Linked DNA regions of Lytechinus pictus. The protein of the gene in region 2 binds, or shares a complex with, the protein of the main gene of each other region. Links are inferred from orthologs where the notes say so. Each region holds a gene or a part of one and is shown on either strand. Other genes may lie near its edges.

The links.
Region 1: the proteins of tRNA-splicing endonuclease subunit Sen34-like (region 2) and tRNA-splicing endonuclease subunit Sen15-like are in contact, whole or in part, in a crystal structure (PDB 6Z9U), measured with the Homo sapiens proteins. The link is inferred for Lytechinus pictus from reciprocal best matches to the Homo sapiens genes TSEN34 and TSEN15. Residues at the interface, in NP_001070914.1 of Homo sapiens: Pro251, Leu252, Arg253, Phe254, His255, Ala256, His257, Tyr258, Pro265, Glu266, Asp267, Thr268, Ile269, Pro270, Leu271, Gln272, Leu274, Ser283, Val284, Arg285, Lys286, Thr287, Leu289, Leu290, Cys291, Ser292, Gln294, Val300, Tyr301, Thr302; in NP_443197.1 of Homo sapiens: Leu70, Lys74, Trp76, Thr108, Pro109, Ile110, Thr111, Ala112, Ser113, Leu114, Ser115, His116, Asn117, Ile119, Arg120, Leu123, Leu141, Ile143, Val151, Tyr152, Tyr153, Lys154, Leu155, Thr156, Asp157, Gly158, Phe159, Met160, Leu161, Pro162.

The regions. Positions count from the first base shown.
Region 1 is NC_087259.1:12,402,777-12,415,623, forward strand, and holds the start of tRNA-splicing endonuclease subunit Sen15-like, read right to left. Parts: upstream 3,995-12,847; 5' UTR 3,603-3,994; coding exon 3,528-3,602; intron 1-3,527. Other genes in the region: uncharacterized protein LOC129277298, read left to right, coding at 3,995-5,185; uncharacterized protein LOC129278362, read left to right, coding at 8,602-9,331, 12,569-12,694. UniProt on the Homo sapiens protein: Non-catalytic subunit of the tRNA-splicing endonuclease complex, a complex responsible for identification and cleavage of the splice sites in pre-tRNA. It cleaves pre-tRNA at the 5' and 3' splice sites to release the intron.
Region 2 is NC_087245.1:38,264,226-38,276,494, forward strand, and holds the start of tRNA-splicing endonuclease subunit Sen34-like, read right to left. Parts: upstream 5,239-12,269; 5' UTR 5,203-5,238; coding exon 5,082-5,202; intron 3,006-5,081; coding exon 2,868-3,005; intron 1-2,867. UniProt on the Homo sapiens protein: Constitutes one of the two catalytic subunit of the tRNA-splicing endonuclease complex, a complex responsible for identification and cleavage of the splice sites in pre-tRNA. It cleaves pre-tRNA at the 5'- and 3'-splice sites to release the intron.

The DNA.
Region 1 (12,847 bases), on a different chromosome or scaffold from region 2:
AAGATAATGAAAAGGTGAAGAGGAAGTCTGCTGATTAGCAAGAAGTCCAATCATCATGTTTATCATTTTATGCCATTTTGGCGCAAGCCTCATTTTCATCCCCAGACAAAAACATTCCGTGTTCGCTCAAGCATGAACGAAACAGATTTTTTTAATGGCATTTGAAAGATAAGACTTCAGAAGTTCAGAGAACCTATCAACACCAAAATATAGACATCATAATTTGAAACAAACATTTTATACTATAGACTTCAAATCTGTTCCGTTTTTTTTATACGCACTGTATTTCAATTTAGTTTTTTCATGCTAAGTTAGGCTTTTCACACAGAAATGACAGAGGAAGCAAACTTCGCGAGTCGCGACAACATTCGTGTCGATCTAGATTCTAGATAAACTGGTTCAGTCAACTTCAGTGGTTGTTTTTTTCCTAGTTTTTGACATTGCTTCCAAGGGCTTACCGGTACATAACCCAGGGAGCTCCGGCCCGCTTTGTGGGCCTGAGCCCAGGAGTCGACCGCGCAAAACGAGGGAGACACTGGACTGGGGTAGATTGGGGTCTCAATACTAATCTTAATAATAGTGTGGAAACAGAAATTATGCACGTACCACGATTATATGGATGAAGGTCTATCATGAGTAACACACAAATCCTGACATCGAGGCACAGACTGGAACCTCAAAAAAACGAAATATATGGCAGGGGGTCCTAAAGCTGCGCGGGTCCTAAAGCTACGCACCACTCAGTTTTTATGGCAAATGCGCACTCTGTGTGTGGAACTGTGACTGCAGAGTGACGAACGATTCCTATTTAATTTTTTCTACAGAGGCTGCAGTAAATCTCTAATTTAATGCAGAGAAACCAATAACTGTTTGGAATTTTGGAGTTATATTCGCTTAAATTTCATTTTTTCCTATAATAATATGAATATATTTTAGAAATTGAGGCACAGGAAATACTATTTTTTTGCATGATAAATCGAGTGCGTAGCTTTAGGACCCCTTCTACATCGGGTGGCGAAATCAAGAGGTGTTCGGAAAACATGGCGGGATTTTCGTATTAGTGAGTTTTGCGATATTTTCTTCTTGGTTAATGATCTTTAGAATGTTTGCCACAAATTAGTGAAAGATATTTGTTGAAATATTAAAATTGGGATAGTTTTTATTGTTTGAAAACAAAGTGCGTAGCTTTAGGTCCCCCCATCATACATGTAGCCTCGGTCTCGATCGGCCATTTTGTTTTGAATTTTGAAAGGAGAGGTATCGCGACAGAACTTTTCGTTTTTTTAGGTTAATACTTCCAGTCTGTGCCTCGATGTCAGGATTTGTGTGTCACGATAGACCTTCATCCATATAATTGTGGTAAGTGCATAATTTCTGTTTCCACATTTTATTAAGATTACTATTGAGACCCCAGTGTCTCCCTCGTTTTGCACGGTCGGCTCCTGGGCTCCAGCCCGCTTCGCCACTTGTTCACTGCAACCACCCTGCCTGTGGGGAATCTACAGGTTGGACTATGGCATGCCAATGCTGTACACTACAGAGCACACACTTTAAAAAATGATTAAAATATCACTTTTGTGACCAAAATTACTAATTTCCACACAGTTGCAAACTTGCAATTCATTTTTCATTTGTAACTTGGAAATAATTTTTGTATTCACTAGAGCACTCAAAAACTTGAATTTTGGGCATATTTTTGTATACGCCCTCTATTGGTGGAAAATAATATGGCAAGAAATTTTGCATTTTTTTATCTCTATTTTTAATTAAAGGAAAATGAAAGGATAGATTTATTATCTGGTCATAAACTGATTACATTTCACTGATTAAAATAAAATTAAAATGAGGCAGAACGGTTTCCTATTTCCCATGATATGCCAAGTCAAATTTATCAATATTTTGATTTTGAAAGACCCGTGGAGATCGCCATTTTGCTCATCCTCCCTATATCTCTGTGGGGGGGTTGTGACGTCAGCGACGTACAACTCGGTGTCCGACCTCGGCACTCGCCTTTGATTGCTAGCATAAAATACATGGGCCAGAGTGGATCTGGCTGCCGAAAATAGGTCAGTAAGGGGCACAAAATGCAGCTTTTGCCAAATTCCTGATCCGCAGAAGAGGCCAGAAATCTCTTTAAAAATGATTGGCTGCACTAAAGGTGGAAAAAAACTACAATTCTTCCAAATTCAAGAGGAATGATGTTGTTCGTAGCGAGCATTTTACTGATTTCTTCGGCCGAGTATTGGGGCTCGAAGTCGTAGGCTCTCAGGCCTTCTAACTAAGTTCTATTTCAATACAAACGTCCGATAATACTTAAATCGATGGTAACAAATAATAAACAACGTTAGATATAATGAAATATAGCACAATTAACAATTTAACGATATTCAAACGGGATAAACAACCAAACTTCCAACATAAAAGTCAACACGATCACTCGGTTCAGGGGCCGGCGGTCGGCACTCAAGTGTTCATTACATGCTGCCGCGCACAGAAAAATCAAGCCATGGAAGTCGTGTGTTGTGGACACCAGAAGGAAGATCCCAGCACGCGCGATCCACTAGATAGAAATCCACTGAAAAATGCGGTTCACGGTGCTAGCTATATACTAACCTCGCAATACGTGTGATGAGTGGGTGGCTGCACTGTCTACGAACAAATTTAGCTTTGTCAAATTTGCCAATTTGGATATCGTAAATACATGTGTAAACATTTTCATCAAAACTCATCAATTTGTGTTTTAAACCATGAAATAATTTTAATAGCTTTTTGATAATTATTTAAAGTGTTTTATGTGTATATTATATTCATATCTTGTAAAAAAGTATCTATATTATGCAAACTCGGGGTTGGTTTCAGCCTGTGACTAGCTGCACATGGAAGTTAGTACCGAGAGCAGTTGTACGTCGCTGACGTCACGATTTTGAATGAACCTCGCAACAATGGCGATCTCCATTTAGTCAAGAGACTTTGAACGTGAAGAAGCCCAACTTTGAAGAGGTGGTACTCCACTCTGGGAAATCGGATTTGGGTATAAGTGGATTCATTTTTATTATCATTTACTTATCAATGATATTATGTGGTATTACATTTTGGGTTTCATTCTCCTTTAAGAAAAAAATAATTTAAAGAATCAAATTTAGGCCTACTTAAGAAATAAGGCCTTTAACTAAGGGCCAAGACCCAAGTTGTATGACGAATAGGTGTAATGGAAACTGTCAGTGTAAAAAAATAAAGCATTTGTCCCAAAGAAAAAGAGAAAATAAGCCAAACATTGCCATCCTTATTTTGCCACACATCGAGATATAACTGAGAACAAGGTTATATCATAACCTTGTTCAACCTTGAATGAGTGCGCTTCGCGTGCCAGAGCTCCATGGGCCTGGGTTAACCGGTACGTACTAACATAGAAAGAAAGGTGTGGGGCTGTTGACGTTGTGAATTTTATCACGACCAGAGAAATATACAACAACCCCAGTGAATAGTTGCACGTACGGATTCATAAAACGTATTGTCTGATTTGTTACCTTAGGATGATCTGAAAACCAAGAAAAGCGGTCAACTGTCACAGCTGTAGTTCCGGAATTTTGACCAGAATCCATTATTCGTTCTTGCCTCTTGGTTTTCGGAGTGACCGTGGTAGGTCTCGAAATATCTCGCACACAATATCAATAGCTCTCGATTCCCGCGAGATTTCACTTGTTATGTTAATTAGCCAAACTCTTTGACCAATCAGAGCCTGAATTGATGATGTCATATAATAATATGCACATGTTGATGTAAACACAGACATGTGTCATTCTAAATTTAGAAATGCATGGAGAGTTGCACTTGCTCTCCGATGTCGCAATACAAGGAAGACAAATTCCTGAATATATAAAGTTAAACCAATATTCACAGCAGCATTCAGTATTCCAACCGGCTGCAAGCCAAACAGGCATAAAGCCTTCTCGAAAAGGATTTTTCTTCTACTAGTGAGAAAAAAATATTGAGAATGGTTGCTGAAGCAGGAGAAATACAGGTGGAAAGTTTCCCCAAAGCCATCACTGGGAAACCACCTTCGAAATGTGCTGAAAAACTTACTGCCAAAAAAGCGGTGGTGTTGGCTCGCAAATCCAGTAGGAGAAATAAATCTCAGACTAAACCAAATCTAACGAATTCAGACAATGATACTGACATCGACAGTGACAAGAAGGAGAAAAAAAGGAAGAAATTTCAACCAGCTCCATGGTTGTGTGAAAACATGGGCGTTCAATCGGCAGCCCCAATTCGTTCCTTTTTGGATGACGCAATTGCCTTTATGGAAGGGAAAGAGCAGCCAAGTGAGGGCTGTTACAACAGGTATGATGAATCAGGATTTAACTTTGACGAGTATGAACGTGTCATGTTCCATCCAGTGAGATTAAAAAGGAAAACATGTTTAATGCACCGAGTGAAGACTAATCCCAAGATTAAGAATTATGCTACAAAATGCAAATTACAAGACAAGGTAATTGTGCAAGGGAAGAAGGTTGTGATTAATAATGGTGTGATGTCTCGACTTAGTGCACAGGATGAGGAGATCACAATAATCAAAGAACGACGAAATGACAGGACTTCTCGGAAGCTCGATCGCCTTGGTATACCAAGATACAGTGAATGGGTGCCAAAGGAGTCACAGACGGCTGAAAATGCATCGACGGCAAAAACGAAGCCAAATTACACCCGCGCAAAAAGGCCACGAAGGGGAATTCAAGTTGCCTTTCGGAAACCTCGCTGGACCCCAGAGCAGAAGGAGCAGCGAGTTTACATCCCACACGAGTTCGAGCTCGTGACCGCTCAAGTGGACCACGATGACCCCGATGAAGCGAATCTCTTGTGCTTCCTCCTTGACCTACAGCATCGAGAGATGACACCCGAGGACTACGACATGCTCCTCCAACTCGACGACAAGATCGCGCCGAAGACCATCGAAGGCGCCAAGCTGGCCTCCCTCCGAACCGTGACCGTGGTCGATGTCGCGACCGACGGCCCAGGCAAGGGTATTCCCTGGGAAGATTCGCAGTGTGCGGTCTGCATGGAACCGTATGAACAGAACCAAACAGTTAAATTCTTGCCGTGTGAACACTTCTTCCATTCGAACTGTATTGAGATGTGGCTGAATAACAGTGGTAATACCTGCCCATTGGACGGACTAGAACTATGACTATTGCATAACATAATACTCTACCTATAATACAGGCCTACACACATAATAATGATCTTTAGATATTTTAGCCAATCTTTATTGGTGGGAAAGTTCATAATATGATTGTGGGAAATGATTTTGAAAAGGATGTATTTTTCTTACTAGAAAATGAAACTCTTCAAAAAGCCATTATAGTTGTAATTATAAATGATATCAAAATTTACCCATGTCTTCTTATCAAGAAGTAACTGAACAAAAATCATTATATCATTATTTTCCGTATTTATTATCAAATTACGTATGTAATATCGGCAATTGTTATCAACTTGGGATAAAGGGGTTCTCATTAACAGTTAATGTGAAGTCAGTTTTTTTTTTTATATTGACAAAAATGAACGTCTACATACAGTACTATGTGTAAATACAGTGCCAGGTTTGAAAGTGCTTAGACAACATTGAAGGTGCTTTTGTAGATTGAATAATTGGTATTTAGAAGATCGAACCATATTCATAAACAAAATCTATAAAGCGTATCTGAACAACTCGTAGACCTAAAGTTTCAAAGCTCACGGCATGCACTGCTAACTTATTGTGCAATAAAACTAAATATGTGGATGTTTAAACATTGTATTGTCGGTGATGTAGGAGCCAAAATTGGTTGATTTTCCTCATTTTATATTACCTGTTCTCGTTTTACCCTATTACCCAAGATATTTTCTAAGAAATGTACAAAAATCTGTTTGAAATAACTACTTTATCACTCTTTGTTATCCAATATTTGAATAGAGTTCCAGAATAATTCTCTACTGCATGTAACAAAAAATAGAACAATTCTTTTATGCCTCCCTCTTGTGGCAATAAGCACTAAAATTTGAAAAATAAAAAGCAATATAAGACATTACACACAGTTTGAATGCATATTGGTTTTGTATTGAATTATGAAATCTGATATTTTACGGTCGTGCGATCATATTCGTTGTCATTACAAAGTTGTGAAAGGCGGTACGGATATTTATAAACGGATGTTTATGTGCGGAGCGGGATGGGGCAGATGTGGGTGAGGAAGGGGGTTTAGAAAAAAATGAGGAGATGGCAGCAGAAGAGAAAGAGTGGGAGAAAGACAGAGATAAGGAGAGTCGATCGATAGAGGGAGAGAGAGACGAGAGAAGGATAAGAGATGCAAGTGTATATCAAACTGCAAATTTGTCGAACAGCGACAAAAAACTATATCTCTGAAAGTTTAAGTCATTATTAATGATACCTTGATCATGTTGAATTCATTTCTAGCAGTATGCATCACTGAACAAATATTATGGTGCATGGTCCTCGAACAATCAATTTATCAGCAAAAAACTGATATATTGTATTTTGTCTTTTAATTTAAATTAAGTATTCTTATTATCACTGATTTGATATTTTTCTTAGATACATAATATTTGTGTTTTTTTCAAAACATCCCATTATATTTTCAGACTTATACGCACATACATAATACATACAATAATGGGCCTAATTACCAGTATATGATATAGGAAACAAGACTAAAACATAGAGAGGGGAGAGAGGAGAGATCGGGGGAGAAAATCATTTCAAGAGAAAACGTTCTGACGTATATAGGACCTTACTCGCCTTCTGTTTCCCACTCATCCGATTCCGACCCTTTTTAAAATTCCAATAGGCCTATATCGAGACAGGGTGGGGGAGTTGGGGAATAGGAGAGAGACGTAAAGAGAGGTGCTCTATTTCAATGCAACATGTGGCATTTGTAAATCTATAAGCATAATGCGTAAATTGAGGGAGATGAAGTCGCGTCGTTTGGGATTGCATAGGCCTAGATGTGAGCCGTATGGCTGGTGTAATGTTTTTTCGTTGAAACGATATGATATTTATTTATTGATTGATTATAAAGCGATCCGTTATCTTCAATGTACAGGGCGTATCAGACCCCCCCCCCCCCCCCCATCCGCTCTGAAATGCCTCTTTTGGAGTAGATAGTATAAAACTTCCATATATCGTAATAACAACGGACTGAGCCTTCTCTGTGTATGCTCCCCTCTACAACCCTACGTGACGAGGGGCAAATAAGCTTCCAGCTTTATGTCTCTACATCCAAGTAAATCCAAGTAAGTAAGTAAGTAAGTAAAAGAACTCCTCGATCCACTCACGTGTGAAGCCATATATACTGCCAGGAAGACAGGGCCCTGATTTCAAATAGGGGGTGCTGGTGTTTTTTTTTTCAGGAAATTGTCGTCAGAAAAAAAAAGAAAAGCCCCCGCCCCCTTCCAAAAAAGGGAGTAATTATTTCCTTCTTTGGGAGTAATAACAATAACCTTTTTTTTTCTTGTCAACTTAATTTTCAGGGGGTGCTACCTTTGGTAAATAGCATATACGCAGCATCCCTCAACCTGCAGGGCCATGCATGAAAATAACAATTAATTAATTAAACCTACATTATATACCCTTCAATAATAAGAAGAAAAAAAACCAAAGAAGATTATGACGTCTATAAATGACTGGCCTTTACATGTACAGTCCAAACTTAAACGTTATAAATTACTTACTGTTAGCAAAACGGAGATTAAAGTTTTCTTCAGAAATTGTTCTCTCCGTTTAAATATGATGTCGCATACCATCATTAGACCATGTAGACAGAATGCATTAATAGGATGTTCTAGGAACTCTTTGAAAGGAATGAACATAATAATAAAGGGGGCGTGGCGAAATAGATTGAAATACATAGGTCCTATTGCTTCTCGATGTTGCAACCGCTTGTCCTTTTCGCACGTGTTTTTTAACAATGTTGAGACAGGACTTTTTGGAAACACGATCGAAGAGATGTTGGTGATTGCGAAAGAACAATAATGACTCGATCCGCGCGCCGTCTTCTTCTCCTCGTAATTTCTTTTCCAAGCAGTCAAAATGTATTATGTTGAGGCTAATTTCTTTCAGAAAGGGCCTACTTAATGATATCTTCCATGAATGGTATTTCATAACTGATTCGGTGTCCAAACTTGTTAATTGCAATTTGATATTGCTACTAACTTTATTATGGTTCAAATTCAAATTCAAATTCATTTATTTCACTTCCATCAAACAAAAACAAATTGTATACCATATATAAAACATAAATATTTGTTTATGTTATAGCAAAAGTAAATGACAATGTCATTTGGAAAGACGGTTTTCCATGATACAGACTTAATTTTAAACAAAAATCGGACAATCACAGAGGCAACAGTGAAAGAAATTAAATTAGAGAATCACGTCTGAAAAACTAGACTATCCCATTGCGTCACTATTGAGCAACCACGGGGATTCCCCGGAGTTATTATGATCCTCTCCCGCCCATCATGCATTGCCCGTTGATAAGTACAATGACAGGCTAGGGCACAGTTTTCATTGTAGCTGTCAAACTTTGAGGAGAAAGGACCATCATGGCAGATCCCGAAGAATTTCCTGGTCGCATTACGCGACTTGACAAAAATTATGCGAACATTTCAGTAACGGGAAAGCCTGGAACTTCCCGCCTGGACACGTCCTCTGCTCGCCGCATCACAGGGTCGTACGTGGGAGACCTCCGTGACATCCTGGAACCCAATGCCCGACTGAAGGTTCGGGTTGTTCCCATGTCAGAGGAGGCGCTCTCCAAGATCCCTGATCGCATTCGGAATGCTGTCAGAAGGAATTCCCAATGGGAAGTAAAGTTTTTCAGGAAAGACGTCGAGCCAGCACCGCAGCCAAGCCGGTTCGACGCCCCAGAGAAGCATTTCACAGATCTCAGCTATTCCCTTAACATACCTCGGGATGCTATCGGCAGGATCATCTCGGCATTGCTGCAAGTCACGCAGATGCTCAACAACACAAGTCTTCAGAAGCTTCTCCCTCTTGTGAAATCGCATTTCAAAGTCAAGAATATCCCCAACATCGGCCAGCATTTAGCAGCAGAAAAGGATCTTGAAAGGATCGTCCTCTCATTTCCACAATATTTCACGATCTCATCAAGGCCCCCGGTCGTGAAGCGATCTTGTGGGTTCAGCGAGGAAGTTTTCAACCCAGCAGTCACCAAGAAAGCCCTTGAGATACAACCCGTTCGCACTAAGGGAAATAAAAGCAAACCTTCCGGAGCAACAGCCTCAGCAGCCAGTAGTCCTGTTGAAATAAAAGGTAGGCCTAAGCTTATTTCTTAAAGTGTACATGACCAAATTTATCTTCACACGTTTACAGAACGTCTGGAATAATAATTTAAAAAAATTATATCATCTACATTATGTACGGCATGGAAAGAGGGGGACAAAGAAAAAAGTGAGACAAAGAGTGAACATGGGAATTAAATGATTAGAGTACATAATACAGAAATTGTAAAAAGGGAAAGAAAAAAGGAAAATAAAACTAAATCACAGAAGATAACTCAGTCAACCAAATGACTTTAAAAAATGACAGAGAGTTTAAGCAAGAAGAAGGAAACGAAGAGAGTCCTTGTTGGTGTATGGTTTTGAAAGACAGGTGAATGCACGATGGAAAGTGTAAAGATGCAGCAAGGTTTAAAAAAGAAAGAAACCAAATCCTATAGTCAACGGACCGAATTTACAACAGATAAAGAGCGAAATGATAATATGATATAATGATAACAATAATAATCATAACAATCATACTTGCTTATTATAGTGCTACTTTCTATATCAGAAGTCTCTAAACGCTCGACAGTAATGCAGCATAATTACATTGGCTGTAACATGGGAGTTAGTAGATTCCTATCCATGACCAGGTATTCTCCTCACCTGGGTTGAGTGCAGCACGTGGGTAAACTTGCTGAAGGAATCGAACCCACGTCCCTCAGATTGAAAGGCGAGTGTCATAACCACTAGACCATGCACGACACCTCCTCATTATGCTAAGAATAATTATGCTATATTATTTTGTTGACGAAGTTACACTCCTCTCCTCTTCAATGTTGCTTATTTTCATCGCTCGCTGTGCTCGCTTGCTGGTATTTATTCAGATAAGGAAGTAAACAGATTTGGCAAGCCATGATGACATCTCAGATAGTGATCGTGTGATATAAACCTTCTTTTAAAAAGGCGCTTCAAAGAGATATTTTATAACATTATCTGAATTTCTCAACAAAATGAAAGTCTATTTAGATTTTTTTTCTTATGTTTTCATATCATTCATATCCTATATACAGTTTTCGTATCAACAAACATAAGGCGGTTGCGTTTTGGGGGCATGAATCATCATTAATGATCTATCATTGCATTTTTTTATGTTGCTGCTATCAATGATTTTTATATTTTCTCTGCAATCGCTCTCTGTATATTTTTTCATTGGAAATGTATTTTGTTCCGTGTATATTGAAATTAAGAATGTGTAAAAACATGTGCAATTATTTTTACTGCAATATATGTATTTTAATAAACCATGTATTATTTTGATTGATTGCTTGATTGTTATATTGATTGATTGATTGATTGGTCAATTGATTGATATTATTGATTGATTGATTGGTTGATTGATTGATTGATATTATTTATTTATTGATTAATTGATTGATTGATTGATTGATTGATTGATTGATTGATTGATTGATTGATTGGTTGATTGGTAATGTAACGTTTGTTAAGACCAAACGAATAATGTGGATTAAACGTTTGCTAGACGGAGGGAAAAGTTAGGGTTGGAAAGCGACCTTCGAATATTTTTTTAGCTCTTAAAGTGGTGGTCGCATCATATTTCTGTGTGATTATGATACGAGTAAAATGAATTTGAAAGGTATACCATTATTTTACATAGATCTGTTGAAGGCATGGCACGAATTGGATAAGTGTAGACATTTTGGAGGGAAAAGTAATCCCATTATTTTTAATAACAAGCGTATATGCCTCAATAATAAGACCTTTCTTTATATTGAATTATTTCAGAAAGGTATAGTTAAGGTATCGGATATAATAGTTGGAGGTCAATTAAGACCAGTTTCATACTGGTATAATCTGAAATTTTCAACTGAAAACTTGCTCAGAATTCAAAAGATATTTTCAGTAATAACAGAAGAGTGGATACAAGGTGATTTTATGGAAATGGATACAGACAACTTTGAAATTCAACTGATGATATGTGGGCATGTTCAGAAACTATGTGATGTAAAATCTAGACGAATATATGACCACTTCGTTGAACATTTTCAAATTGATTATGTATTTCATGTTACAGATGGGCAATCCGAATATGATCTGGGAATGGGGGAGCTGAAAGAAGTATTTCTGAGACTGAAATGTGCAATGCTATGCAATAAACACAGAGAATTTCAAGACAAACAATTGCATGGGGCTGTGTACACGAAAAGGGAACTTTTTAAATTTGGTTTTGAGACAGATAATTTGTGTTCCTTTTGTAAAAAAGAAGTTGAGTCCTACCAACATTTATTTTATATTGTCCTGAAGTTTATGGGAAGAGATGAGTAAAATATTTCAACTGAATGAACTTGGCAGTGACAGTTGGAAAACAATTTTCATGGGGATATCTGGAAATACTACAAGTTAGAGTAACTTTAATAAACTGTATTATATTCTTAATTAAGTATATTATTTTTAGTTCAAGAAAACAGGGAATATTGCCAACCTTACAGAAAGTGACACATTTGGTTAAAGAGTGTATAGAGATACGGAATATGAAATAGCGTTTAAAAAGGGGAAGCTGGGGTGCACTTAAGGAAATGGGAACAAATCAATGCATACCTTTCTTAATACTATGGATGTATTGGTTGCTTCATTTTGTTTCTGTTTTGTTTTGTTTATTTGTTCAAATACAGATAGTTGTACCAGAGCAGGATGCATCGTGTATGGGTGTACGTGTGTAGATGGATGTGTGAGTTTTGTGACGGGGAAGAGGGGGGGGGGGGGAGCTGTGGGTGGTGGTGAGTTGAAGTGAGCTTGTGTGAGTGTCTGGGGAGAGAGATGAGGGGGGAGGGGTATGCGGGTAAGGTGAGTGTGTAGGGACGTTTTAGGATAATAACCTTCCTCTAATTAACCTTTAAAATAATCTTTTATCATTTTTTATTCTTGTACAATTAATATGTGCATAAGAGATTATTTCTATTCTATTCAGGGAAAAAAAGTCATCTTTTACTAAAGTATGTTTTTTTATTTTGTCGATTGATATGGGTTTTCCCCTCTGCTTTCACATTGCTATAGAAGAGAAATTTGGCAGTTAAACTTCATTTGTAATCATTCTAAAATATTTGTAATCTCATTGATATTGATATATTTATTTTTTTTGTTTATTTATTGTATACATGCACATAATCTTTATGTATATGAATTGTGATTGTAAACTTATTGATTTGAAAGAGGAAGAAAATAAAATATTATTAAAAAAAAAAGTAACGTTGGTTTTTATTTTTCATAGATGTGCTGAAATGCACTCAAATCATCGAATCTGTGTCGGATTGTAACCGAGTTCTTGATCCGATTCTTGACAAGGCGAAGAGGGAGATCGTGGTCATTGGTCTCGATTGTGAAGGGGTAAGACTGGGTAAGTTGATCATTTATCATCACCTCTTATTTTCATTCTGATTCCATGGCCATACGCAGCAACATTTTGTATTGCCAATTACTTTTACAAAATTCTAGTAACCAAAATGTGCACTGCATAGTTGACCAGATAGGCCTACAATATAAATATATC
Region 2 (12,269 bases):
AATAGCATTCCAGTTGTGGTAATAATCGAAATATGGCTGAACAGAATCCAATAAAATGACAACCAAAGGGTTTACAGATATGTGCCGTATGATATTTCGGAGAGAAAAGATGCAATTGCTGAGAAATTCCAGTCAGGTACAGGGTCTTTTTCCAAGCAATAATAATGAGCTGTGTGAAGGCCGAGTTGGCAATCAGCAGTGTGATTTACTTTTTTTTTTCAAATCAAATTTTTGGATTTCACAAAGACAAGTATATGACAATCCTTCTCTACAATGATATGGTGACTATACCCGTAAGGCACTATTTTGAATTCTTTCTCATGACATAGTTTCCTGCAAGTACACGTACAGGTATATTGTGTCTTGCCCTCAAAACCCAGATGAGAGATTATTCGTCTACTCCTCATCCAAGTTATGGAACAGCCCTCCATGGCCCAGGGAAGCATGGGTGCTAGGGGGGCTAAAGCACCCCCAAGATTTTCCTGGGGGGTGCAGCATGTGTCATTGTCTGTAGGCAGTACCCCCCCCCCCCCTGGAATTCTGGTAGGTGTGGCAATATGGAGATATCAGGGTGCTACATAACTTTTTAGAAGCACTTGCCCAATCGGGCAAGTGAATTTCTAAATAGTTGGAAAAAACTTGCCCGAAAAAAAATCTTTCAAAATAAGGTTTTACCGCTGCAAAAGATAGAATGGTTTTATATACCATTGCCCCTTTCCTCTCTTTAGACGTGAACTATTGTACTTTGTAATTTTTTTTCAAGGAAGAAAGAAAGAAAGAAAGATAAAGGGAAGGTGAAAGAATGGGTGAAGGAAAGATTGAAGGAGAGAAAAAAAATGAAAAACAAGAGATGAATGGAGAAAAAAGAATAAAGAAAAGAAAAAAAGGTTTCCTTCATTCTTTGAATAAAGAAAAAGGGAAAGAAAAGAACAGGAAAGGAAGGGAAAATGAATTAATGGGTGAAAGAAAGAATGGAAAGAAATAAAAAAGGGGGAAAGAAAGTAAGAATGAAGGAAAAAAGATTTCCTTCATATTTTGAAAGAAAGAAAAGAAAGAAGGAAGGAAGGAAGGATGGAAAGAAAGAAAGAAAGAAAGAAAGAAAGAAAGAAAGAAAGAAAGAAAGAAAGAAAGAAAGAAAGAAAGAAAGAAAGAAAGAAAGAAAGAAAGAAAGAAAGAAAGAAAGAAAGAAAGAAAGGGGAAGACAGGAAAGAAGCAAAAAAGGAGAGAAAGAATAAGGAAAAAGAGAAGGAAAGAAGAAAATAAAGATTGAAAGAAAGGATGAAAAGAATGAAGTGAGAGAATAAAAAAAAAGAAAAATAATGGAAGAAGGAAGCAAAGAAAAAATAGAGGAAAGAAAAAATGAAGAAATTTTAAAAAAGAAGGAAAGTACATGTAAGAAAATGAAGGAAAGAAAAAAAAATTAACAGAGAGAGAAAAAAGATCAGGAAAGAAAGCTAGGAAAGATTGAAAAGAAAGATAGATGGAACAAAAAAGGCAAGCGGGAAAGATAGGATAGAAAAGAAAGAAAGAGAGAAGGAAAGAAAGAAAGAAAGAAAGAAAGAAAGAAAGAAAGAAAGAAAGAAAGAAAGAAAGAAAGAAAGAAAGAAAGAAAGAAAGAAAGAAAGAAAGAAAGAAAGAAAGAAAGAAAGAAAGAAAGAAAGAAAGAAAAAAAAAAGGAAGGAATGAAGGAAGGAGCAAGGATTACTTACGGAAGGAAGAAAAAGAAAGAAAGAAAGAGGAAGAAGGATCAAATTTGAAACAAAACAAAAAATGCAATCATGTAATAAAAATCTTGCTGATATTTCTTTTAAATATATTTTGAAAATTGTTGGAAAAATAAACGTTTTAGAAATGAATAAAAATTTACAGAGAAACATTGACAAACTTAAAAATCAAATGAATCATTGCGGCATCGTGGACTTGCACGCATCTTTCTTCCCACTACACCGATCACAACACTCAAAACAACAGCTGAAACTAGTAATGAAAACTCAATAACTTGCTCCTCCGATCACATCACCAAATCAGTGATCTGAGAATCCAGTATAAAAAATTTCCCGCCGATTTTGTGATTATTTTGTTGGAAAAAGTATTTTTCATGTGAGCTTGTTCACTTTGGTTCGGAGTTTGATCGGGGATAGTACAGGTGTGCACAGCAGCATGGAGATCCATGCATGCCTGCCACACAGGCTGGAGGCTGGGCGCACCAGCCACATGTATGCTGACTCTGTGTGTAGATCACAAAAATGTCGCAAACTGGCTTGCAATTTGAATTGAGGGAAGTTGTTAACTTTGTTTTTTTCTCTCTCTCGTCTTTATTTTTGCATGTGAAGTATGGGGAAACTTTGTAAAATTTCATTTCACAGTGAGAATTTTGCTTGCCCGATTCGGGCAAGTAGTTTTTGTCTTTACTTCAAAACACTTGCCCGACTCTAACTTTTACTTGCCCTGGGCAATCGGGCAAGCGCTTATGTCGCACCCTGAGATATGTAACTAAAATTATCTACAATTTATAATGACCCCCCTTTTTTTTCTTCATTTTTTGTCAAATTTTTCAGGACCAAAATGATCTTCATTGTGTAGTGCTTGTCAAATTTACATCGATACCCCCTGTATAAAAAATTGTTCTAAGGGTCTTCCAGCCTCCCTGAAGACATCATAAACTTCTTTTAAAAAAACACATCAACAATTTTATTTCTGATTCTTCTTAATATCCTTCAAAATTCTTGAAAAGTGCCTTTCGATGGGCACTCTACAAAGTGGACATGGTCCAACATTAATATCACTAACGCAGCTCAGCACATAACCAACATACATATTTAAAAATTAAAAAAAACATTTACTCTTCATATATGTGTTATACATACCATGTTGAAGGAGCACAGCTGCTTCTTCTGGCATGAGTTGTAGAGGTAGACCAAGCTGTATATTCTGCCTTGGAGCTCCAGGCAAAGCACCTATCAATGAACCCACAATATGGTGTTCACGACGAAGTATTTCAACTTCTGTGTAAAAAAATCAAAGAAATCACTATTACGGTATAATGTGATAAATTAGTAATAATAGCATAAAAAGCACCCACAATTTAATAATTTGGCAAATTCGCGTATGCGCCCTCAGTATATCGATCGGCCAGTTTTGTTTGCAATTTTGAAAGTGAGTGAACGAACGCGGCTTTCTTGCCTCGATGTCAGGATTCATGCAGTCTGTTAGACCTTCATCCATAGCATTGAGGTGGGTGCATTTCTTTTTTTCCCCTTTAATATTGAGTGTTTTTGGTAACCCAAACCTCGAAGGTACCCATGACATGGTAGTATTTGTTAACTGTGGCAGCCTATGGCTACCTTCTGGGATGCTGCTAGACAGCTGGCAGCCATCTGTTTCGAGGAGTTTTTTAAACATTTTTAAATTTCTCGTGCAGCCGCCATTAAGGGGGTTAACAATGCAAATTCCCCCCGATGGCACTCATTGATTTGTGTCTTCATTTCATAAAATATATAAAACGAACTGGACCAAAATAAAGGATATTATACCGCTTTGGCCTGAAATGCACCAAAACAGGAAAAAATAAACTTAAAAGGAAAAAAAAAACGGTGACTTACTTCGGCTGTCGCACAACTCCCACTTCCCTGGTTTATCCAAACTTAAACAGTTAAAGGAGAATGAAACTCTTGGAGCAAGTTAGCTTTTGTGAAAGCAGAAAAATCAAAGAATAAGATCAACAAAAGTTTGAGTAAAATAGGACTAGAAATAGAAGAGTTATGAGCATTTGAATGTCGAGATCACAAATGCTATGGAGATCCTCCCATTGGCAATGCGACCAAGATCTATGATGTCACAGATGAACAACTCTCCCCTTTTGGACACTGAAAATATACCCCAAAACATCTCTTTTTGCTCATTCTAATCATATGACAAACGATTCATCAATGATATAATGTTGTGAAACCTCTGTACTTGTCCTCTCATAAAGAGAACACCTCACCTTGTGATAGACTCTATAAAAGTGAGAATATAAGTGAAATAAGTACTAAAGTAATGAGGGAGTTGTACGTGTGTGACATCACAGATCTTGGTCGCATTGCCAATGGGAGGATCTACATGGCATTAGTGATCTCAATATTCAAATGCTCATAACTTTCTTATTATTCATTCAATCTTCCTCAAACTTTCAACAATATGTTTCTTTGATTTTTCTCTTTGATATGGATTCAGCTGGTTTCAAGGGTTTCATTCTCCTTTAATACATAAAAATACGGCCATTGAGTCCCTTTAGTCGACTTAGAACTTCGGTCTCTGTAATTGGTGAGTGGAGCCCAGGATGTTCAGCTGAACAACCAATATAACAGAGACCGAAGCTTTTGGTCTAGGCTCCGGCACGCGAAGTGGGCCGAAGCTCTCTGGGTTACTGTCCCTTTAACCCAGGGAGCTCCGGCCTGCTCCTTGTAATACTACTAAACTAGGCAGACATGGGTACTCTCCAAACTGGGTTAGAATGGGGTCGCAATGAAAGTGGAAAAAATAAATTATGCACTTACCTCGATTATATTAGATGAAGGTCTATCGTGACACAGAATCCTGACATCGAGGCACAAACTGGACACTCAAAAAAAGGAAAAGTTAGACTCCATGTCGTGTTCGTTCTCAGTATCGATCGGCCATGATTTTGTTTTCAATTTTGAAAGAAGGAGAATGAACGAGACAGAACTTCCTTTTTTTGAGGGTCCAGTTTTTTGTGCCTCGGATGTCAGGATTCTGTGTCACGATAGACCTTCATCCATATAATCGAGGTAAGTGCATAATTTATATTTCCCCTTTTATTTGGGGTGCTATTACGACCCCATTCTACCCCATTTTTGGAGAGTATCCTCTGCCTAATAATATTATTACACGGACGAGTCCTGGGCTCCGGCCCGCGAAGCGTTACCTTCCCCTCAGCTCTCCGGGGCAATAAACACGCTGGTCCGTAGAATTTGGGGACCACCACTTTTTCGAATCCAGCTCCAGGCATCACGCACGAGTCATTTCTTTCACAATCACACATTACCTTCGTTTTTTCACTAAATAGCACATGTTCTTACCATCAGCATGCCAAACACAAAGTTGTCCAGCGATTAAATGTAGATTTATCAACTGTTTCGACGCCATCTGTAGCGTTGTTCTGATCGACGGCTCTTGCGAGCATGAACGATGATCACACATGTCGAAATGTCGCCCTCTAGCTAGCTCGGCAGCTCGTAGACTAGACATGACTGAGATCAGTGCTCAAACCAAACTACGGAAATATTGTGGCGGATGGGGGGGGGGGGGGGCCGGGGGGGGGGGGGGGTCCGACCCGTACCAGTGCCCCCCATGTTTTATGCATTAAACATTAAAGATCAATGTTTCATACATAGCGATGTTCTCCCGGCATTTTGCCACGAGCCCCGCATTTAGCGGGGCTCTCCGCTAAAAAAAGCTATTAGAAAAATAATAATAAAAAAAAAAAAAATCATTTTTATGTAAATAATTTGTATGCCGTCCTTGAAAGTCACAGCATATATTTTTAATGGAAATTAACAAAAGGGAGGAACTTCTTTTATGCTTGTCAAATTTTCCTCGGGAAAATGTGCTACCCAGCCTCGTAGAAAATCCTGGATCCGCCCCTGGTATCCACCTTTATGGTACAAACAGCAAAAAATCTGGGGGCGTCTTATAAGACTGAAGTTTAAATATAATTTAGCTTTAGTTTAACAAACTAGATAAGGACTAAAGCTTGAATTGATAACGGGGGCTTATAGGGGAAGTTCACCCCTGACTAAAAGTTTGCTCTAAAAATAGGCCTACCCGGGGAAGAATGGGTGAAAGTTTGAGGGGAAATCTATCAAAGATTAAGAAGATTGTAAGAATTTTAAGTTTTTTATTTATCACGTATATAAGAGCAGCTGCCCTATATAAAATGCATAAATTTTTAATGGCCCATGATATGATTAAAAAAATATTTCTTTCAAGAGCGGATGTGAACATTTGTGTTGATTCATTGTCTACGTGATATCAGTAACACAAAATTAATGATGAAGAGAAACTTATTTAAATTGACTTAATTGTCTATTGATATCCTTTAGGTAAAATTCTAATTACTTTTAAAATCTTTTATGCATTTTCCTCAGACTTTAACGAATATCTTGCATTTTCTGCTATTTTTTTAGATCGTCAGAGTGAACTCCCCCCTTTTTTAAAGTTTTTGAAAAATGGCTTTTCTCAGGACTCTTTGCATAGAATCATACATGTATGCACATTGGCGGCGGAAGCCAAAAGATTTAAGGGGGTCCACCTGAAATTTTGGGATGGACTCAGGTAAAAAATTTGACAAGCAAAAACAAAAAATAAGGTTATCAACCAAAATTTTAGGGGGGGCACAAGAATTTTAGGGGGGTCCACCTGAATTTAGGGGGGGGGACGCAGAAAAAAAAAAGGTATCAACATAAATTTTAGGGGGGGGGTCCGTCCCCACCCCACCTCAAATTTAGGGGGGACATGACCCCCGTCCACCCCCCCGCTTCCGCCGCCTATGTGTATGCATCTCATAAATCAATAACTGCAACCGCGAAGCGCGTGACTTGAAAAAGAGATTCAATGCTGCATATTATGAATTAATGAATAAGTACGTATCTCGTTCATCAAATATTTCTATTGAGAGCGCGAAGTGCGAGCTAAAAATTAGATGCATAAGCACTCATGAAGCGAAAGCATCTCAAATATCACAAGCCAGATAATTTTTTATGAATGTTTTTTTTTTTTTACCTGAAAAATAGGGGCATGTGACCCCAGCCCCACCCTCGGATCCGCCACTAAACATGATGCGTATATATCTCGTTAATTAAAATTCTAAATAAACCTCGAAGCACGGAGCAAAAACCGAGTTTCATACATTGACTTAAAAACAGGAAGAGCTATTTTGATCCTCTTAATAGGCAATGATCGATATTCATCATATAAAACAGGCAATACGAGCGCGAAGCGCAGTAGAATTTTCTGTTTGTAAAATTACTGTGATGTATTTCTTTTCCTATTTCCAAGTCCCCCTTCCTTTATTCTATATTGACTTTTATATCTCCTCTTAAAATTCTTTACGGCCCCTGGATTCGCCAAAGTATTATACTTTGGATGAGAATAATATAACAAGTGGAATATGCCTCTGAGAGTCTTGCCTGCATTACCCGATTCAATATAGCACCGGTGCTGACAACTAAGATTGTTCTTTTTCACAAAAACCAATATATATATATATATACATACATATTATATATATGTATATATATATTAAATTTGTTGGCCTCAAATGACCTCTGACAATGATCATGTGACATGAAACTTGAAAAGCTGACACTTTATTAAAGGTCAATTCCACCCGAGCAAAACGGTTTATTGAATAAATAGAAAAAAATCAAACTAGCATAACGCTGAAAATTTCATTAAAGTCGGATGTAAAATAGGAGTTATGACATTTTAAATTTTCACTTATTTTTCACAAAACATTGATATGCACAACTCAGTGAAACGCAGATGAGACAGTCGATGATGTCCCTAACTCACTATTTCTTTTGCTTTTTATTGTTTGAATTATACAATATTTCATTTTTTTTTACAGATTTGACAATAAGGACCAACTTGACTAAACCATACAGTATTAAACAAACCCAATCCCACATGTCCAGGGAGGAATTGATCGTTGTTTCACTTGACAATAAGGATAAAATAAGAATATTCATATATCATTTAATAAAATACAAAAGAAATAGTGAGTGGATGACATCATCAGTCTCCTCATTTGCATACCCACCAGGATGTGCATAAATAACTGTTTTGTGAAATTAAGCGAAACTTTTAAATGTCATATAACTTTCATATTTTACATCCGATTTTGATGAAATTTTTAGTGTTATGATTGCTGGATTTTTCTATTTTTATTCAAATCAACCTTTGTTAGGGTGGACTTGTCCTTTAAGCATCAATATCCTTAAAAATAGTATTTTTTAAATTATCAATCCGGGCGGATAATGTCGCGACCGCGAGTGATTTAAAAAAAATTTTACTATTTTGAAGAGTGACCCGAATAAGCTTGATGAAATGTTTAATTGCTAATTTTCCCCTCTTATTATTTTCTCTACATTATTTCTTCCTCCTTTTACTTTATCCATTTTCCCCTCTTCCATCTCTCTTTGTTTTTCGCCTCCAGTATAGATGGACGCGGCTGCTTTGGCTCCTGGATCTGCCCATATCTTTCCATGTCCCTTCCTAATCTTTTTATTTGGTACAAGACGAGGCACTGGCTTTTATGCTATTATGGATTCGCAGTTTTATGAAAATAATTTTAAGGAACAAAAGACGCCCCCACTTTCGGCAAATTCTTTCTATAACTATGTATCTCTATTCCTTTCCCCCTTCTTTATTATTTCTACTCTCCTTTGTGCTATTAATCTCTTCATTGCCGGGATAGGTGTATAAGCCAGCAGCTTGGGGAATTATCGGGCACGAGGGCGTTTCTACCCCAGACTTTACCCCCCTGCTTTTTTATCATCTCTCTCCCCTTCTCATTTTCACTTCCCCTCTAATTCTTTCCTTCTCGCTTTCCACTTTTTGGCTCTGGTTCTGCGTCTGCCGAAGGCAAGGTCCTTTCGCACCCGGACTTCCCCCATTTTTAAGTTCTTCTTTAAAGGGACAAAAAAAATGTTTGTTAATAAAAAAAAATACAAGTGGAACACTTTTGGCAGTCTCGCCTGCATTGCACAATTCGATATAGCAGCAGTGCTGCCTTTGAAAACAGCTTATGAATGAATTATTCACAAAAGAAAACACTAATATAATAAAATATGTCCATTGACCCAAAATGACCTTTGACCATGATCATGTGGCATATGACATGCATGTGCAAAACGATCATTCATACAGTACTTGATTACCCTTATGTCTATGTTTCATGAACTAGATCTATTAACTTTCTAAGTTATGATACCAATTCAACACATACTCGCAACACGGCCAAATTTCATAGACCTTCTATGACCTTTGATCTTGGTCATGTGACCTGAAACATGCTCAGGATATAAAGGGATACATGGTTGCTCTTATGTCCAAGTTTCATTATCTATATCCTAAAAGTTATGACAATTCCACACATACCCTCAACATGACCATTTTTGTTGACCCTAAATGACCTTTGACCTCGGTCATGTGCCCTGAATCTTGCACAGGATGTTCAGGGATACTTGATTGCTCTTAGGTCCAAGTTTCATGAACTAAATCCATAAAAAAATTTACGATTCCACAAATACCCCAACATGGCCAAAGTTCATTGACCCCAAGTGACCTTGGTCATGTGACCTGAAACACAGACAAAATCTTCAGTGATGCACCATTACCCTTATGTCTAAGTTTCATGAACTAGGTCCATATACTTTCTAAGTTATGACATTTAAAAAACAACCTTGGTTAAGATTTTGATATTGATTCCCCCAACATGGTCTAAGTTCATTGACCCTAAATGACCTTTGACCTTGGTCATGCGACCTTAAAAATCGGGGAGGATATTCAGTAATACTTATTTCTAAGTTTCTTGAACTAGGTCCATTTACTTTGAAAGGTATGACATTTCAAAAACTTAACATTGGTTAAGATTTCAATGTTGACGCCGCCGCTGCAGTCGGAAAAGCGGCACCTTTAATCTTGCTCTGCTATGCAGGCGAGACAATAAACGGCTGTTTTCGACTTGCCGTATAGCCGCCGTAGGGGAAATGTGACTGCAGCATTACTATACAGCAACAGTCTACACCTAGATTATAGAGGGCTTGGCCCATGTCAAAAGCTTGCTTTGAATTAACAGTTAAGCCTGAACTTTATATTTGAATAACGGTAAGACACATATCACACAAAAGTTTACATTCTGATTCCAATGTGGTTTTATTCATATCTAATCAATGTTTTTCTTGTTTCACATATAGTGTGTAGATTTTAAAATGTTCTCGACCTTCAGATCCTATGCAACACTGGATACAAAATCACAAAATGGTTGCCAACTGCAAGATTAAAAGCTAGATTTTTTAAATACAGTACGTATGACTGTAACTCTTTTCATGAAAGTGGTAGCCATTCCTCCACAACTCAATTGGATTCACAATTATGGTTTATACAGGTTACAGTCTGAAACAAGACTACAACAATGTAAAACACAAATACTCTTTTAGTCAATATCACAAATATCATTCTAGTTAAAATTGCCAGATTCTTTTCAACTTGTGACAAATTATAAAAACAATGGGCTCACTTTCAATGACAGACATAGCATTGCAGATATATTATAGTCTTGCAATGCAGTTACACATAATGAAAATACTAGATAAAGCTCTACTATAACGTGTGCAATTAATTGTAGACCCATTGGTGCAAACGCCGCCCTTCCAATAGAGAGTACATGTATAAGAAACTGCCGTAACAGTAAAACACATCATTTTTGTAACTTTTGTAATCTCACTTTCCTCTAAAACAGTTAACATAATAATTATAGTTAAACTACAGCCACTTACTTTTTAAAGTTATGAAATACATTTAATCACTCATAATCCATCAGACAAAGATATAAATAAAAGTACCAAGATCAAATTTAAAAACATCATCACACTTTTTTTATTAAATTATGGCCACATCATTTAACAGATTGACGAGGTGAGTGAGTCCAGTTAAATTTTTTTTTGGTAGGTAAGTTCCCGTTAAAATCAAAGTCAATCTTACAAGTCCCATTGTTTAGTATACGTTTGGTAGGTGTTTTTTAAATCTCCCATTTCAAAAGTTTGCGACAACAACAAAATATATGTGTTTTGGTAAATACAAGTGTTAACTTTGCGTGCAAGATGGGAGTGTAAATGTCAAAGGTCGTGTTTGCATGAAATGTCAACCTTCTGGCAATGTAATTCTTGCATTATGTCACAAAACATACCTATAAAGCAAACTAGAACTGACAAAAAACTACATCCAACCTAGTACAAGAGGTTATCGATGGATTTAAGAACATATAAAATAGTGGAAGATATTTTAATCTCGATCAATTGAATGGTAACGAAAAGAAACATATGATTACTGAATGATCCCTGCTGAAACCACTAAGGAATTTTCTACAGAATGCAGATTACAAGTATACATGAAAGGCTAGATTGGAAATTAAAAAAAATAGAATACAATGAGATATAAAATATCATAAATGGAAATTACTTGTCTATTATTTGAGCTTATGGAAAATGAAACATGATTCACAAATTAAAAATGAAGATATTTGTAGAAGCTGTATATCAACCTAGAAACCACTTTTAAGTGTGTTTTTTTCAGAACGCATTGTTTACCAAAACACTCAATTAACAGGCTCTTGAAATGAAAATAGAGATTAGAAAAACTGAGTTCACTTCGTAACTTAAACACACAAAAACAACGAAACAAGTTCCTGAGTGCCGCAGTTATCTTCGTAACGCAAGAAAAAAAAAGGTATTGGAACCGAAAACAGTATGTGCTGTGATAAGAACTTTCAACGTACAAATGCTATTAGATCAGACACTTACTGAAAGGAGCTGAAATGCAAGTATAAACGATATCTATTAAAAGGTATGTAATATCAGAGGATAATTCAAAATACTGCATGGACCATGGACAGCATGTATCCCCCCGTTACGATTTATCGCATTTGTTTTGAACAAGGTTACGCACAAATCCCATGGGAGGGGGGCCAAAGTACCATCAACTAATCATCTTGCCAAAAAAAAAGAAAAAAGAAGAAGTTACTTATAGGTAGGTGAATCACAAGCCCCCCCCCCTCCCTTCAGACTTTATCATCAATCAAGAAGATGGATAGCACTATCAATAACACTACGTATCAATAACCAGTGGTGAAAGATGAATCATCTGAACACTTCCATGCCATATAAATGCCAGTTGTGGTAACGATTTCAAAATAAGTTCATCAAGAATCCAATAAAATGACTCCCAGTGTCGGTACGTAGAAATACAAAAATATGAGCCAAAATATTCCAGGAAAAAACTTGTGTAATTGCCGAGGAATTCCCCAAATAAGCATGGTATTCCATATATGTTTTAGGTCTTTCTCCATGCAACAAAAATACACTGTCCCATGTGTGCTTATCTGTGTTAGCGATTGTCAGTGTGATTGTTTTTCAACTTAGATTTCATGATTTCACAAATTTCAGTTCATGTAACTGATCCAGATCTAGATGAAGGATGAGAAAGTG